4 linked regions of the Schizosaccharomyces pombe genome follow. Changing the gene in region 2 together with the main gene of any one other region gives a genetic interaction. Each region holds a gene or a part of one and is shown on either strand. Other genes may lie near its edges.

The links.
Region 1: mutations in gst1 (region 2) and cpn1 together harm fitness less than expected from each alone (positive genetic interaction), as found in Schizosaccharomyces pombe (one large-scale study listed by BioGRID).
Region 3: mutations in gst1 (region 2) and amt2 together harm fitness less than expected from each alone (positive genetic interaction), as found in Schizosaccharomyces pombe (one large-scale study listed by BioGRID).
Region 4: mutations in gst1 (region 2) and rpp201 together harm fitness more than expected from each alone (negative genetic interaction), as found in Schizosaccharomyces pombe (one large-scale study listed by BioGRID).

What each region holds. Positions count from the first base shown.
Region 1 is NC_003424.3:332,623-336,683, forward strand, and holds cpn1 (caprin), read left to right. Parts: upstream 1-1,994; 5' UTR 1,995-2,037; coding exon 2,038-2,160; intron 2,161-2,184; exon of another isoform or gene 2,185-2,207; coding exon 2,208-3,323; 3' UTR 3,324-3,509; downstream 3,510-4,061. Other genes in the region: protein eti1, read right to left, coding at 1-121; nce101 (non-classical export protein 1), read left to right, coding at 592-617, 669-819; mrpl6 (mitochondrial 54S ribosomal protein uL6m), read right to left, coding at 1,073-1,714; rcl1 (rRNA processing protein), read left to right, coding at 3,806-4,061.
Region 2 is NC_003421.2:1,718,617-1,721,784, reverse strand, and holds gst1 (glutathione S-transferase Gst1), read left to right. Parts: upstream 1-1,714; 5' UTR 1,715-1,770; coding exon 1,771-2,460; 3' UTR 2,461-2,642; downstream 2,643-3,168. UniProt on the Schizosaccharomyces pombe protein: Involved in the oxidative stress response and detoxification.
Region 3 is NC_003424.3:1,729,174-1,733,797, forward strand, and holds amt2 (plasma membrane ammonium transmembrane transporter Amt2), read left to right. Parts: upstream 1-1,895; 5' UTR 1,896-2,453; coding exon 2,454-3,992; 3' UTR 3,993-4,095; downstream 4,096-4,624. Other genes in the region: SPOM_SPAC664.13 (uncharacterized protein), read left to right, coding at 332-685. UniProt on the Schizosaccharomyces pombe protein: Transporter for ammonium to use as a nitrogen source.
Region 4 is NC_003423.3:3,641,562-3,644,214, forward strand, and holds rpp201 (ribosomal protein P2), read left to right. Parts: upstream 1-1,599; 5' UTR 1,600-1,627; coding exon 1,628-1,936; intron 1,937-1,999; coding exon 2,000-2,023; 3' UTR 2,024-2,092; downstream 2,093-2,653. Other genes in the region: nce103 (putative carbonic anhydrase), read right to left, coding at 1-389; histone lysine methyltransferase Set6, read right to left, coding at 2,257-2,653.

The sequences.
Region 1 (4,061 bases), on a different chromosome or scaffold from region 2:
CATCAGGAGTTCCATGGTTCATTGAGGATTCCGATAATGCCGAAAAAAAAAGTTCATTACTTTCGTCAACGAACGATCCGAGATTTGTTTCATTAATTGATTTTTCTTTATAAAATGACATATTAACAACGATGGTTGTTTATGTAGTGCGCTTTGTTTGCACTCTACATGTACTGGGCTTTTGTTAGTGGGCAAGTTCGAATTTTCGCTAATATTAAAAATAAGGAGGAAGCAATTTAGGGAAATACATTCGTCAAACTTCATCTTAGAATTTAATACTCACATTTTTATTAAGTTTCTCAAAAGAATGTGAGAATGCAACTATTAATTATTTAAGAAACAGAAACATAAATAAAAGCATTCTCAAATTTTTAATAAAAAGCGAGCTTTAAATTTGACAAAATGACTCTAATATCAGTTTATTACTACGATAAAAAGGATGTATGATGGATATATCTAGGTATTTGCTCAATGCGGCCCATATACTTCATTAGGCTACTACATATTTCCAACCTTACAGTCTCACTACTACTATTGATTAAAAGTAATCAGCTAGCCACGTAAAAGAGAAGAAGTCATTTCAAAAAGAAGATGTCTCAACCCTATTTAATTTCTAAGTAAGATTGTAAGAAGACTCGGTTCATTATATTAACATGTTACTTAAACAGATGGATGGATCCTTTGTTTGGAATCTTCGTCGGTACTTATGGTTATTATTTGTATGAAAAAGAGCATCGTCCCCGAGGAAGAAGCTTACGAGAACTTGCATTGCGTAAATGGAATAAACAGGCAGTTTCACAACAATCCATGAAAAACTGAGGTCAGACATTCCGTAAAGGACTGTTCTAGGAGGCAAAGGGTGTCGAGCGAATGATGATTTTATATTTTTATTCATTGAATAACATTTCCTTTTGTACGTTTATACGCTACTAACAGTCTGTGACAATTTTTACTGCAATGTGATTTAATAAGTGTTTGTAAGAAATGAGTTTGTATAGTGAATTTGCACAAGGTGTATGCCAGATGGAAAATTGAAATATGAGAATGTACTGCATAATGAAATCCAAAGAACTCATGATATGCTCCGTTTAGCTTTTAACTGCGGTTTTTCCCCATCAACATAAATCCCCTTCCCTTTATACGGCTCGGGCTTTTTAAACGATCGAATTTTTGCTGCAAACTGTGTGACTTTTTGTCGATCAATTCCACGAAGTACCAAGCTGGTTGGCGTTGGATTCTCAACTTGTACATCAGTAGGGATAGAGACCAAAATGTCGTTTGCATAACCTATTTTTAAATGAATATTTCCATCGTTTAGAGAAGTCCGATACCCGATACCAACCAATTTGATAATAGATTGCCAGTACATAGTTACTCCCTTTACATTATTAGCTAGGATAGCCCTAGTAGTGCCCCACATTGCACGTTGCTTTTTAGTAGCTTGCTTTTCTATATTGGCATCCATTCCTACTTTTAGGATGTCATTAGTTTTCGAGAGATTGAGATAATTTGGAAATCTCATGTTAAGTGTTCCATGAGGTCCAGTAATCTGTAGTTGTTCCCCCTCCAAATCAAACTGGATATTTTTTGGAACAATGATTTCTTTTTTTCCAACGTATGATCTAGCAGCTGAACATGTCGTGAAGTTCATACCAAGACGAGCAATTCGAAAAGTTAAGGGCCTTGTTTTCAAGCAACTATCAATAGAAAACATAATTTTATAAATCAAAATAATTCAGTTTTCAAATATATTAGTAAAGGATGCTAGAAAAATTGACTTCGAAATTCGCTAATATCAAATTCTAATAAAAACACGTATTCTTTCTATTCGATTTTTTTTTTTGTGAGATAGCTTAAAATAAATTGTTCCTATTATTAGGGATTAAGACTGCCAAAAGTGTTTGCGGATTTTTAAAGTCAATGTTTGACGATGTGGATACTTAGTAGGTTCATCATGTAGGGTGGCAGCCATGTGGCACGTCAACCAAACTTGCGAAGAACCAACCTGTGGGATAAAAGCGAGAAAAGAAAAAAACCATGCCAAGCCAGGGAAACAATAAAAATAGTGAAAACATCACCCAAAACCCTATAGAGGGAGAACTCGGAAGCGTTATTGTGGAGCATTTAACCAAGCGCATTCGTAACTTTACGAAAAAGAAGGTAAGATCATTTATTAAATTGGGCGTTAAAACTTACTAAATCTGTAGCAAAAAATTCTAAAGCTTGAAGAAATAGCTGCTAGCGATTCCAATTCTCTCAATGATGATCAACGAAAAGCATTACAAGGTAAAGATGCTGTATTGACGACATTGAATGAGTTGAAGGAGTTGTTAAGCCAAATAGATGCTACAAGGATCCGTGATGAAAAACACAAGCGTCAGTTTGAGGCGACCGAAAATGCTAAAAGGAAAGAAGAGATTGAAGCACAATACCGCGAAGGATATGACACCGCTCAAAAGCAAGTCTCAAGTTTGGTCCGTTTTCTACGATTTGCAAGCCATAATTGTGTTCATCCTTCAGATGATGCGCCTTTCAATTCAGCTGTTGAAAAGTTATTGGTGATTGTGTATGAGGGTACCGAGAAATCTGAAAAAGCTGTTGCTGATTTGAACGACTCGTCAACAGACGTTGTACCTGAAAGTGAAGTGTCCTTTCAGACGATTTCATCTAGAGTTGATAATTTTTTCGCTGCTCCTTTGCCTAGTGAACAGGCTGAGGAACTTATCGAAGATGATTATGCGGAGCAACCAGAGCAAGCAGTTGGTCAACCCATTGAGCAACAGAGTATTAGTGATGACGAAGCCCGTCAAACTAATCGACCACTTAACCGTGGCATTCAGTTTTTAAATGAGAGCGAAATTGAAGGACAGCATGTTGAGGAACCCGCTCTCCCCAGTGAAACATCTGTTCCTGCTAATTCTACTCTTCAGGTTCCTACTGAAAATGTTGAAGTAGATGTTTTGGGCAAAGATGGGACCAATATTTATCCCACGCAAAATCAAGTTGTTGAACAAAAACAAATGCAGCAAAAATTGGATTCAATGTCACCAGAATGGTATCAAGCAGCTGATCCTAGCAATGGAGTCGTAGATGGAACACCCAAATTAAATTCCAATACCAGAGGATCTTCAAAACGCCCTTCTGTCAACCGTTCCCAAGGAAGTGGTCAACGTGGTCGAGGTGGACGAGGATTTTATCGCGGAGGTCGTGGCCGTGGAGGATTTTTTAATCGCTCAAAGCGAGGTCAGTATTCCAACAGTAATAACTCAACCTCGCAACCTAGTCCTAACGCTGAGCTATCCAATTTCAATCCCGTAGCCTAAAACGCTTTTACCGCATATATTAACGTTTCACTTTTTTAATGTTTCAGAGGTTTTTGTATCATTCTTTCCTCTAGTGTTCTCTGGCATTTTAAAAAAGTATTTATATATTACCAAAACTCTCAAAGCATAAAATCAATCATCGTTTTATTGCTTTTTATGTTCTAGAAATAAAATTACTTGATTTTATTAATGTGTTAAATATTATATAAGAAAGTATATTTCTTTCTTTTAGTAGTAAAAACAGTTAATTTTTTAAAAAATACAGTACTTTTTTTATTGTTTACATTTATTTAGTAAACAAGTAGCTTTACGGTTACCACGGCAACTCCTAGCTGAGAGGTCAATTCTACCTCTTGCGCTGTAGAAATTCTTTTACCAAAACTAAAAATTTCCTGTAAAGGAATTGAAATATCAAAGTCTCGAAAAACGCGTTTTTAAAATAATTCGGGGCTTTGCATTCATTTTGAATTGTTAAACTCGTGATGTCAACCGGTCAGCTCAAACGCTTTAAAGGATGTGAGTATTTGACGCATCGGTTAGTCCTTGCAACTCTCTCGGGAACTCCGATTCGAGTTGAAGGAATTTACCCAGATGAAGCCGATCCTGGTGTCAAAGATTACCAGGTTTCGTTTTTAAGGCTGTTGGAGAAGTTGACCAATGGCAGTGTCATAGAAATTTCTTACACAGGTACTTCGTTCATATATCGCCCAGGAAATATTATAGGAGGTCGTGTAGTCC
Region 2 (3,168 bases):
CCAAAAATTTTTAATTCTGAAATCTATCAGCAACTCCCTTAAACTCAAAATATCGATTCCTTTATCTTGAGGAGCGATGGATGGGCTAGAAATTTTGATTCAATAGGTAGGTTTTTTTTTTTGCAATTGCATTAGTAACTGTTTGGAGGTAAATTGAAATAACAAGCATTACTTAAACCCTTTGCCTTTTTTTTTGAATCTTTTTTTTTAAAAGGAATCGTTTGTAGAGTACTTTGAAACTGCAGCCTTAATTCAACGTCTTCTTGACTACCTTTATTTTCCAAATTATGCGAACCTCGCTTGCATGCGACTATACAAAAAATAAGGAAACCAGTCTCGCATAAAATTAAATTTAATTTTAATCTTCAAAGCATCTCGATTTCGCGGACTAGGATCCTGGATAAATGCGTTGAAACTAAGCCGATGGGTTGTAAGAATATGGGAAAAGCTGCAATGTATCACATTGAATAGTCAATTGAAGGACATGGAGCTTTGAGCTTGTTGAATGAATAAAAGTTTTTGATGAATAAACGTTATTAGACATGATTGTATTTATCGGGTTTCGACTTTAAAAGTTCAATCAATTAATGAAAGACGTAAAAGCTGGACGTTTATTGAATAATCCAAAAAAGGTTATTTTTATATACTTTTAAAAAGAAAAAAAATAGTATTTAACGGATATAAACATGTATTGGTTCATGTACTTGCTTTACTCTGATCAAGTTGGTGTATGCTTTTTGGTTTCCATTGCTCTTTTTCTGATTATAATGCAAAATTACTCATCGTGTTTGCAGTTATGTTGAATAGCTTTAAAATTTACGTATCGTATTGTCAAGGTAGTAAATGTAAACAAAAAATTTTCATAGGGAATCATTACCAATTCGCTTACAGAAATTAAACATATTACACTCACTGTATGATGAAAAATAAAGTAGATTTCGAAATAAGATTATTAGAGTGAAGAGAATTTTAAATTGATATGTGAGAAACAAAACTCCGTCATAACTAATCTTTACAGTTGAAAATCCAATTGTGAATCCCTAGCATGTTTGAATTAATATGTGCAGTAGTCTAAAAGCAAGTTTGACACGTTGGTTTTTGAACAGGTGGTGAACAAAATAAATCTCGAGCGTATGGTTGAGACTATTTTATTATTTTTATATTAACTTTATCATAAGATGTCTATTCAACTGACTCGTAAATTCTGAAAACTACATGTCTTAAGAACCTGAAACAGTTTTAATTGCATTTGAATTTGGAATTGCATTAAGCCGACCCTTTAAGAAATTAAATATAACACTAAGCATACGTTTATTTCCCACAAGGATTATACATAGTTAAACAAAACGAGAAGTCAGTCCCCACGCACTATATGTTGGTAGAAATTTTACATGAAATTTTGATGCATTACAAGATTGATTAAATGTAGCGTGTAACCGGCTAACAGGATTCAAATGTATTAGTAAATGGAATCGGTAGTAGATTTATCTTTCTTTGATCACGTTTTGACATAAATCATAACTTCCGGCTTGTCGTCAGCTAATCGAGTAAAATTTAGTTGAATCCACGTATGAGTCTAATGTATGATCGATTAGTAAGTTGGATGAAATTGATCAACTCGATTTCGGGTGTTTTCCAAAATTTTTCATAAATATTGCATACGCAATGGAAGTAAGAATTGTATATAAAATGGTAAAGATGCTCTTTATATTTTAATCCATTGCCAAACTCCTTTCATTTAACAATAGAACACACTCAAAATAAAGTATCATGGCTCAATTCACTTTATGGTCGCATGCTCATGGTCCTAATCCATGGAAGGTGGTTCAAGCGCTGAAGGAGTTGGACCTTACCTATGAAACCAGATATGTGAATTTTTCAAAAAATGAGCAGAAATCCCCCGAACACTTAGCCTTAAACCCTAACGGTAGAGTACCTACCTTGATTGATCACCACAATAACGATTATACCATTTGGGAATCTGATGCCATTTTAATCTATTTAGCTGACAAATATGATACGGAAAGGAAGATATCTTTGCCTCGTGACCATCCTGAATACTACAAAGTTATACAATATTTATTTTTTCAAGCTTCTGGCCAAGGCATCATTTGGGGACAGGCTGGATGGTTTAGCGTCTATCATCAGGAGCTAGTCATATCTGCCATTACCCGTTATAGGAATGAAATCAAACGTGTTCTAGGAGTCCTCGAAGATATCCTTAAAGACCGTGATTATCTCGTGGCCAACCGGTTCACAATTGCTGACTTATCATTCATTTCATGGAATAACTTCCTTGAAATTATTTTTGCAGAAGGAAAGTTTTCAATCGAGGAAGAAGTGCCTCAGCTCGACTTTGAAAAAGAGTTTCCTAGAACTTATTCCTGGCATCAAAGACTTCTTGCCAGACCTGCTAGCAAGGCTACCTTCGAAGAAAGATCAAAGGCTTTGGATAATTAAGTGAATTTGTGGCGTCTATCTTGATAATAACGTTCCAATATTTCAATTGATTGATTGATTCTTTATATTTCAAAATTCATGCATTGTTTACTTTCCTTTATGCATATAGATATAGACTCAACTTTTTCGTTTCATACATCAATTGTTCAAGTGCTCTTTCAATAATATCATCTTTAAACTATGATTTTCTACTATACATTCCGAAAATATATACAAAGCAGACCATGTAACATCCATCGTATTGCTCTTGCTAAAATTGGTATTTATTGTTTGGAAAAGCCAATCATCAAAAGTAAAAAATATAAAATGAAAGAAGGGATAGCTGTAATCATGTCGAAATGACTTGAGGCGCTAATTTTATTTTATTTTTTTATTGTTACTATCTTTTTATTTTTCTTATACTACAAGACCTTTTTTATTTTTTTTTTTTAAATAATGTCGTCAATTTATTGAGAAAAGTTCAATGATTTTATTAAATTTTTAAGTAAATTATAAATATTATGTCTAAAACAAAAGCTCGAATAAATAATAATCAAATATTGTTTTCTTTATATGTTGGGCAGGCTTGTCTTATATTTTTTATTTTAATTATTCTGAATATTGTAAATAAGATGAATTCAAATACTCATGAACACAAATATAATGTAGGGTATGAAGAAGTGATTCATTATCGAATTTAGAAAGGTCCTAATATAAAAAACAAAGAGA
Region 3 (4,624 bases), on a different chromosome or scaffold from region 2:
AATACTATATTGTGTATTAGGTTCAAAAGTTGAGATTATCAAATAAAACCCTTTTACTTATTGAAATGGGAATTACAGATGTAAAGTAGCAAATGGTGATGTTACTTCTTTCTTAGAGATAGGAAGGCCACGGGATTAGCAGTAAAGGATAGCGAATTTGTTGAAATTTTGACTTATACAAGACCCCATTTTGCATATATAAATTATTTGGTAAAGTTCTCTTCTTCACTCAGTTGATTTTTCGCGATTCCCTTTGAAATTTTGTGAAATATTGTAGTTTGAAATTTATACTCGAAATTGGCTTGTCTGGAGGTTCCAGTATAAAGAGAGTATGGATTTGGAGGAGCTTCAAAAGATTATTCAAGAAGAGCAAATTCGCTGTGAGAGAGAAATCGCAGAGGCTGCAGAAGCACGTAATTCTTCTAATAGTCTTATTGTAGTTGATGAATATTCCAAGGAAAGCGAAGATGTTCTAGAAAATGGGTTAGAACACGTTCAGTCTAATGAATTCACCGAATCTGAAGATTATAAATCCATTGAGCGCTCTTTGGCTGTCACAGAAGCTGTTATGGCTCGCTTTGAAAAAGAAATGGGTTCATTACGGGATCAAATGAATTTCTTTCATCAAATACTCGATAATGACAACCTCGATGGTTTCCTTACTGGATCCAGCAAACCTTGCTAGATTTATTTGCGAATGGGAATGACTATAGAATTAGCTCAATCCTGTATGCTTCCTGCTACTCTTTCATATAGGTTTAAAGAATCCTTTCGTTTGAAGAGACATGGCAAGTTACGTTTTTTATTCCTTCCTACCATCCTTTGTACACTTAGCATCAAACTCATTAAAATGAACCAATCCACTTGGTCTGTAAACCTAACAAGGCTTGTGTGAAGCTTTAAATAACGTAAAAGAGAAAGAATAACTTAAAAAAATGCAGCTAGAAAAACAGAGAAGCAAGAAATGGATACCTTCTAGTTTACTATTTTGCGCAACTAGATACTCTGTTGCTGCTATTTGAAGAGGCAGTAAGCACGCATAGTTGTTCTTTATTTTTGCATTTTTTTAATCTCATTTTGTAATGAAATAAAGATAATTAAATGGTTTTCTTCTCTTTCACACGTGTCTATGCCTCAGCTTCCATTCCGTGGCATTTTTTTGACGGGTCGACTGCCGACAATACTGAGCAACAAATCCAGGGTGAAAGCTGCTTACTATTCAACTTTAAACGAATCTATAACCCACCGTTTAGATATTGATAGAATTTGGTTATCCAGCTATCAGTTACATTTGCAGTTTATCGCCTATCTCTTCATACTTAAATTTGCATAAGGTTGTTATCTCAACTATCGTTCTGTGGAGAATAATCCAGATCTGAAAGTTACTTGTTTACATTTTCTGTTGAATTACTAAAAATTTTTTTTTGCTACATTCACTGTCTTAGAGGCGCTGTTCCATCCTATTTTACTTATAAACTTACTGTTTTCAAGGCAAAACTACATTTCGTGTGTCGTTGCTGTCTGTACATTAAATCTACCCGGGGGAAGGAGTTGAATGGAAAAGGAGGCCATGCTCCACAATAGTTAAATAGCTGTGTTGAAAATCCATTTAACTGAAAGGCAAACTCGTACATTGTTGTGACGATGCCGGTCTTTCTCATCTATTCCCATCTCAAAAAAGTAACAACCTTCTGTGAACGAATTTTTTTTCCCGAGTCATCCGTTACAGCTTCGGATAGAAAAACCATCACTACCTTGTAGTTAAAAAACATTTATTTAAAAAAGAAATTATCCGCTATCTACCTGGTTTTTTTTACTCGTGCTGGAAGTCGCCTCTGTGTGCCCCCGTTATTTACTACTGACATATATAGCGATTTTCGGTGAGCGTCAAACACAACTTCTTCCCCAAACAGCGCCATTGTCAATTTCACGAATTTTTGAATGTTTGGGATTGTGGAAGTCGACATCGTTTCTTGAGATTATACTACTTGTAAAAGTGCTGTTTACATCTAGTCACTCGAAGTTTTGATTCGTTTGAGAAATTGCTGAAGATTATATCTCGATCTTGACTTAAATTCAAGAGAAAATAGTGTTTTTTTTTAATAAATGCTAGAATATTTATCCATTTCCCTTGGATATTTTACTTTTTTTTCTTTTTGAAAATATAGATCAGATCATTGATTTTCTGTTTTAAGAGTTCCCCTTTTACGTAACAACTTCCTTTTTGGTTAAATCATATTAAGTATTTTTAACCATCACTGATTCTAGTGTCTGAATCAATTACTAATAGTCTTATTACTGTGCTTTGCTTCTTTGTTGACCAAAAAGTTTTATAACTCAGAATCTTTAGGACCTTTCCAATCCAATTTAACATTTAATCATTTTTAAATCCCTCTCTTAATTTCAAAGGTATAAAAAAGAAAGAAAAAATTTTTTCTAAAAAATTCGTTGCCATGTCGTCAGTGAATTCAATTCCCACAGCAACTTCTACTGTTTATATTTCAGTACTGCCAGCTACAGCTACACCTAGTGGTGGTAGTGGTGGAAATGTTTTGCACGAAGATCTTAATAAATTTTATGATTATGGAAACACTAGTTGGATTTTAGCTTGTACTCCATTGTGTCTTATTATGGTGCCTGGTGTGGCTTTTTTCTACTCTGGCTTAGCAAGAAGGAAAAATACATTGGCTCTTATCATGCTCTCTATGCTTGGTTTATGTGTTAGTTTTTTCCAATGGTATTTCTGGGGTTATTCTCTTGCTTTTTCTCAAACTGGAACCTCTGGTTATATTGGCAATCTTCGTCATTTTGCCTTTATTCGCACACTTGCCGATTACTCTCCTGGTAGCAATAATATTCCCGAGCTTGTATTTGCAAATTTTCAAGGAATGTTCGCCGCAATTACTGTAGCCCTCTTCACTGGTGCCGCCGCTGAAAGAGGTCGTATTGGTCCAATGCTCATCATCACATTTGTGTGGCTCACTGTCGTTTATTGTCCCATAGCGTGTTGGATTTGGAATCCAAATGGTTGGGCTTTTAAATTTGGTGTATACGATTTCGCTGGCGGAGGACCTGTAGAAGTTGGATCAGGATTTGCAGCTTTGGCGTATACGGTTTGTTTAGGACGTCGATCCAAATTTGTTGAGGAACAATTTCGCCCTCATTCTGTGCTCAATGTTGTATTGGGAACATCTCTGCTATGGTTTGGTTGGCTTGGTTTCAACGGTGGTAGTGCTTACGGCTCCAATCTGCGAGCCGCTATGGCAATCACCAACACAAACTTAGCAGGTGCTGTAGCTGGTTTAGTATGGGTTATTTACGACTACATTTTTCGCACTAGGAAATGGTCAACCATAGGTTTTTGTTCCGGGGTTGTTGCCGGTTTGGTGGCTGCAACGCCTTGTGCTGGTTTTGTGAGTCCTCATGCCTCTTTGGCAATTGGTGCTATTACTGGCTTATGTTGCAATTGGGCCATTAAGTTAAAGTCACATATGCGCATTGATGATGCGATGGATATTTTCGCTATCCACGGTGTTGCGGGTTTTGTGGGTACCTTTTTGAATGGTTTGTTTGCCGTTGATTATATCGCAGCAATGGATGGTATTTATGTTGGTGAAAACAAAATCAGAGGTGGTTGGTTTGATCACCATTGGCGCCAACTAGGCTTGCAAATGGCCTATATTTGTGCTGTTGGTGCATACGACTTTGTTGTCACGTTTATCATTTTATTCATTACGGACAAAATTCCCTACCTTCAACTTCGAGTGAGCCCTGATGCTGAAGAAATTGGTGTGGATGCTGATCAAATAGGTGAATACGCGTTTGATTATATTGAAGAACGTCGTGAATATAAGCATTGGAAGATTTCCCCTGCCGGTGTACCTGAAGAAATCATTATTTCCAATGGCGTTGCTCAACCTACTGGAAATGTGGCTGCTCCCGGCAAGATTCTAGAATCAACAAACCCATTGGAGCTTGGACTTACGATCTAAATCTTTTTGCATCGTACAAAGTTATTTGGGTTTAAAAAAAAAAAGTAAAAGGTTGAATTGGAGAAAAGATTTTAAGTTAATAAAAGAAATGAAAATTTTGGTAGATTGGTTTATGATTGTTTAAAGAAAAAAAGAAAATAGCACAACTACAAGGTCGCTGTTTGGGAAGTTTTGAACAAAATTACAAAGACTAGAAATTTCTTGAAAGATTTGCTTGTTTTTACTTCTAAAGAGGTCAGAATCTTAAATTATAATTTTAAGGTTTTTTTTTTGTTAACAGCATTTAAAATGAATTCGGTTTAAAGGCAAGACTAATAATTGTAATGAAAATATTTTTATGCGAATTTGGTTTGTAATTTGTGTATCCAAATATGAAGAGAATTAATTATCTTATAAGCCAAAAGATTTAAAATGAGCAAGTCAATCTTTGTTTCCAGTCATAATAAGTTTGTATTTTGTATAATCATCATTCACCATGAAACCAATGAATAGGTACAAAAAAGTACGTCGAATTAGGCTTTAATAACTATTTACTGTTTACGAATTTACCGGAAGTGAAAACCTCACTACTGCATCGAAACAAAAAATAAAAAGTAAACTCCCACTGCGAGACTCGAACTCGCAACCTTCCG
Region 4 (2,653 bases), on a different chromosome or scaffold from region 2:
ATGTGCTTAACCTTTAATACGGTCACGGAGTACTCCATAACAGCTAAAGCATTAATGTCAGAACGAGGAACGACATTGGCAATGTTTCGATGAACGAAGACTTCACCTGGAAGTAAATTCAGAATGGTGGTCTCAGGAACACGAGAATCTGAACATCCGATCCAAAGAACTTGAGGAGTTTGAATATCTTTGGTGGCTGTAAAAAAGGATGGGTACTTTCTGCTAGTTTGTTGTGACCAAGTCAGATTGCGTTCAAGCAAATCTTTGATTTCCCCATTCTGGTCAATTTTACCAGCGCCAGAAACGGGAGAAGCGGTTGAAGCTTCTCTGTCGATTATCTCGTCTTGATGATCGATTTCCTCAATACGACGTTTCAATCTATCAGGCATTTTCTTTTTTTTATCACTTTTCTCTAACAATTGACTAGACGAAAAAAACAATCTTTTTCTTCCAAGCGATGAAAAAGATATGGATTGTAAACAACTATTATAATTACAAGGAAAACGAATGAATCTCGATGTTAACCGCGGAGCCGCTATTATCGAGTAGCTGCTACTTTTTATTTGGTTAAAGGTAGACTGGAGTATGGTTTTTGGAAGCGGAATTTTTGTAGTTGTCAAAGCACCGAATGGTGGGAGCATGATACGTTTTTATACCACACGACAAAAATGGAAACGTTTGTGATGTGAGCAAAGCTATGATGATGAACTTTGATGTATAGCTAATACTCCGATAACAAGCCGTCCCGTCCGTCGAGTAGGTAAGGTTTATTGGTTTATCTATTATATAATGTAATTTATTTTGCTAGATCTTTGCAAGGGACTACCTACGGATAGTTTTGACGGCTTCGCAGTTAACAAAAAACCGGATACGATTGGCTTAAAATTGCAAATTGTCCCAAATATGAATAAAATGTTGACAGCCATAAAGATTTCGCAACCGTGCGAAATTTTTTTTTTCTAAACACAAAATTATTGGAGAAGAATCCGTCATTTATCAATTACGAGTATATCGTCTTATCGTTATACGTGTTTTCGATTAAGTTAATCTAAAATTAAATTAAGCGATAATTAGGTTTTGTAGATTGAAACATTTGTTAACATGGGCACCGCTGACATTACTATAAAAAAAGACGAAAAAAAAACAATTGCCCATTGTTACCCATAATAGGAGGAATGAAATGAAAGTAAAGACAATTGAGAAAATTTATTCAATAGCTTATACAGCTATTTCAAGTCTCGGCCAGTAAGTTAAGCACTTGAAGTTATATTTAAACCGTCAGTTTACCAAACATTAATATGTTTGTTTCAATTCCCATTGATAAACTCAAATACGTGTATGACATTAATTATGCCTCTTTGTGCATACGGTTTTCTTACTATTATAAAAATAATTAGCACGCCCTTAACTAACAACTATTTAGGTTGATTTGAACTTGTAGAAAAAGCTTGTAAATATCGTGCTCGTCAACTAAACGAATATAACAAACCTTAGAAATCATCGCAGCATTCCACTCAAACACATACCCTAACCTAACTCGAAAACCAGTCACAAAAGTTTCGAGTCCCTTAGTGTTGTGAATGCTTAATACTTTCTGCCATCAACACGCACTGCACTCCTCGTCAAAATGAAGTACCTTGCAGCTTATTTACTCTTGACCGTTGGTGGAAAGGACTCCCCTTCCGCTTCTGATATCGAGTCTGTTTTGTCTACTGTCGGTATTGAAGCTGAATCTGAGCGCATTGAAACTTTGATCAACGAGCTTAACGGTAAGGATATCGACGAGCTCATCGCTGCTGGTAACGAGAAGCTTGCTACTGTCCCCACTGGTGGTGCTGCTTCTGCTGCTCCTGCCGCCGCTGCTGGCGGTGCTGCCCCTGCTGCTGAGGAGGCTGCTAAGGAGGAAGCCAAGGAAGAGGAGGAATCTGATGAAGACGTAAGTTAATTTTAGATAAGAAGCATTCTTTGTTTCTCAAAAGCATCTTACTAACAATTTTAGATGGGTTTCGGTCTTTTCGACTAAACCAAATGATCCCTTGTTTTCATTACGCTTTCATAAAAATAAATCGCCGTGTTGGTTTTATTTTACCAATTTTTTTTTAGTGCTCCATTCGTAATAGTATTTTTCGTTTGATAAATGTAATTTTAGCTTACTTTAAATGTTAATGTACCACTGGTGCCCCGTGTTGTTGATTTGAATATAAGAGACTTTACACTTGTAAAGCAAGTCGTTGTTTCGAGAATAATAAATTTTATTTAGTATGTTACTAGGAAGTCTTTACAAGCGGCCCATAATTTTTCTTCAAATGCTTTCAAATTGTTTTGAACATGAAGCATGCAATAGTCTTTACAAACCTCAAATATTTCTTTAATGTCATTTTCCACATTTGAACAAAATGTGGTCGAAGGATGACTTATTCTAACTGCTTGCTGTAGCCTTTGAGCCCTATCTAAAAGCCACAAAACAAAATCATCAAGGGAAATAGAATAGCGGCCCAAAATACAGTGGTGTAACCCTCCAAATGATGGTATATTCTTCAATAAAAATAACGAGTTATTGGTAGGTACAGTCTGCTGAGGTTGAGAGCTGGACGGGAACTCCATCTCCAAAGGTTTGTCATTAGGAAACATTAAATGCTTTACTTCCATAGCC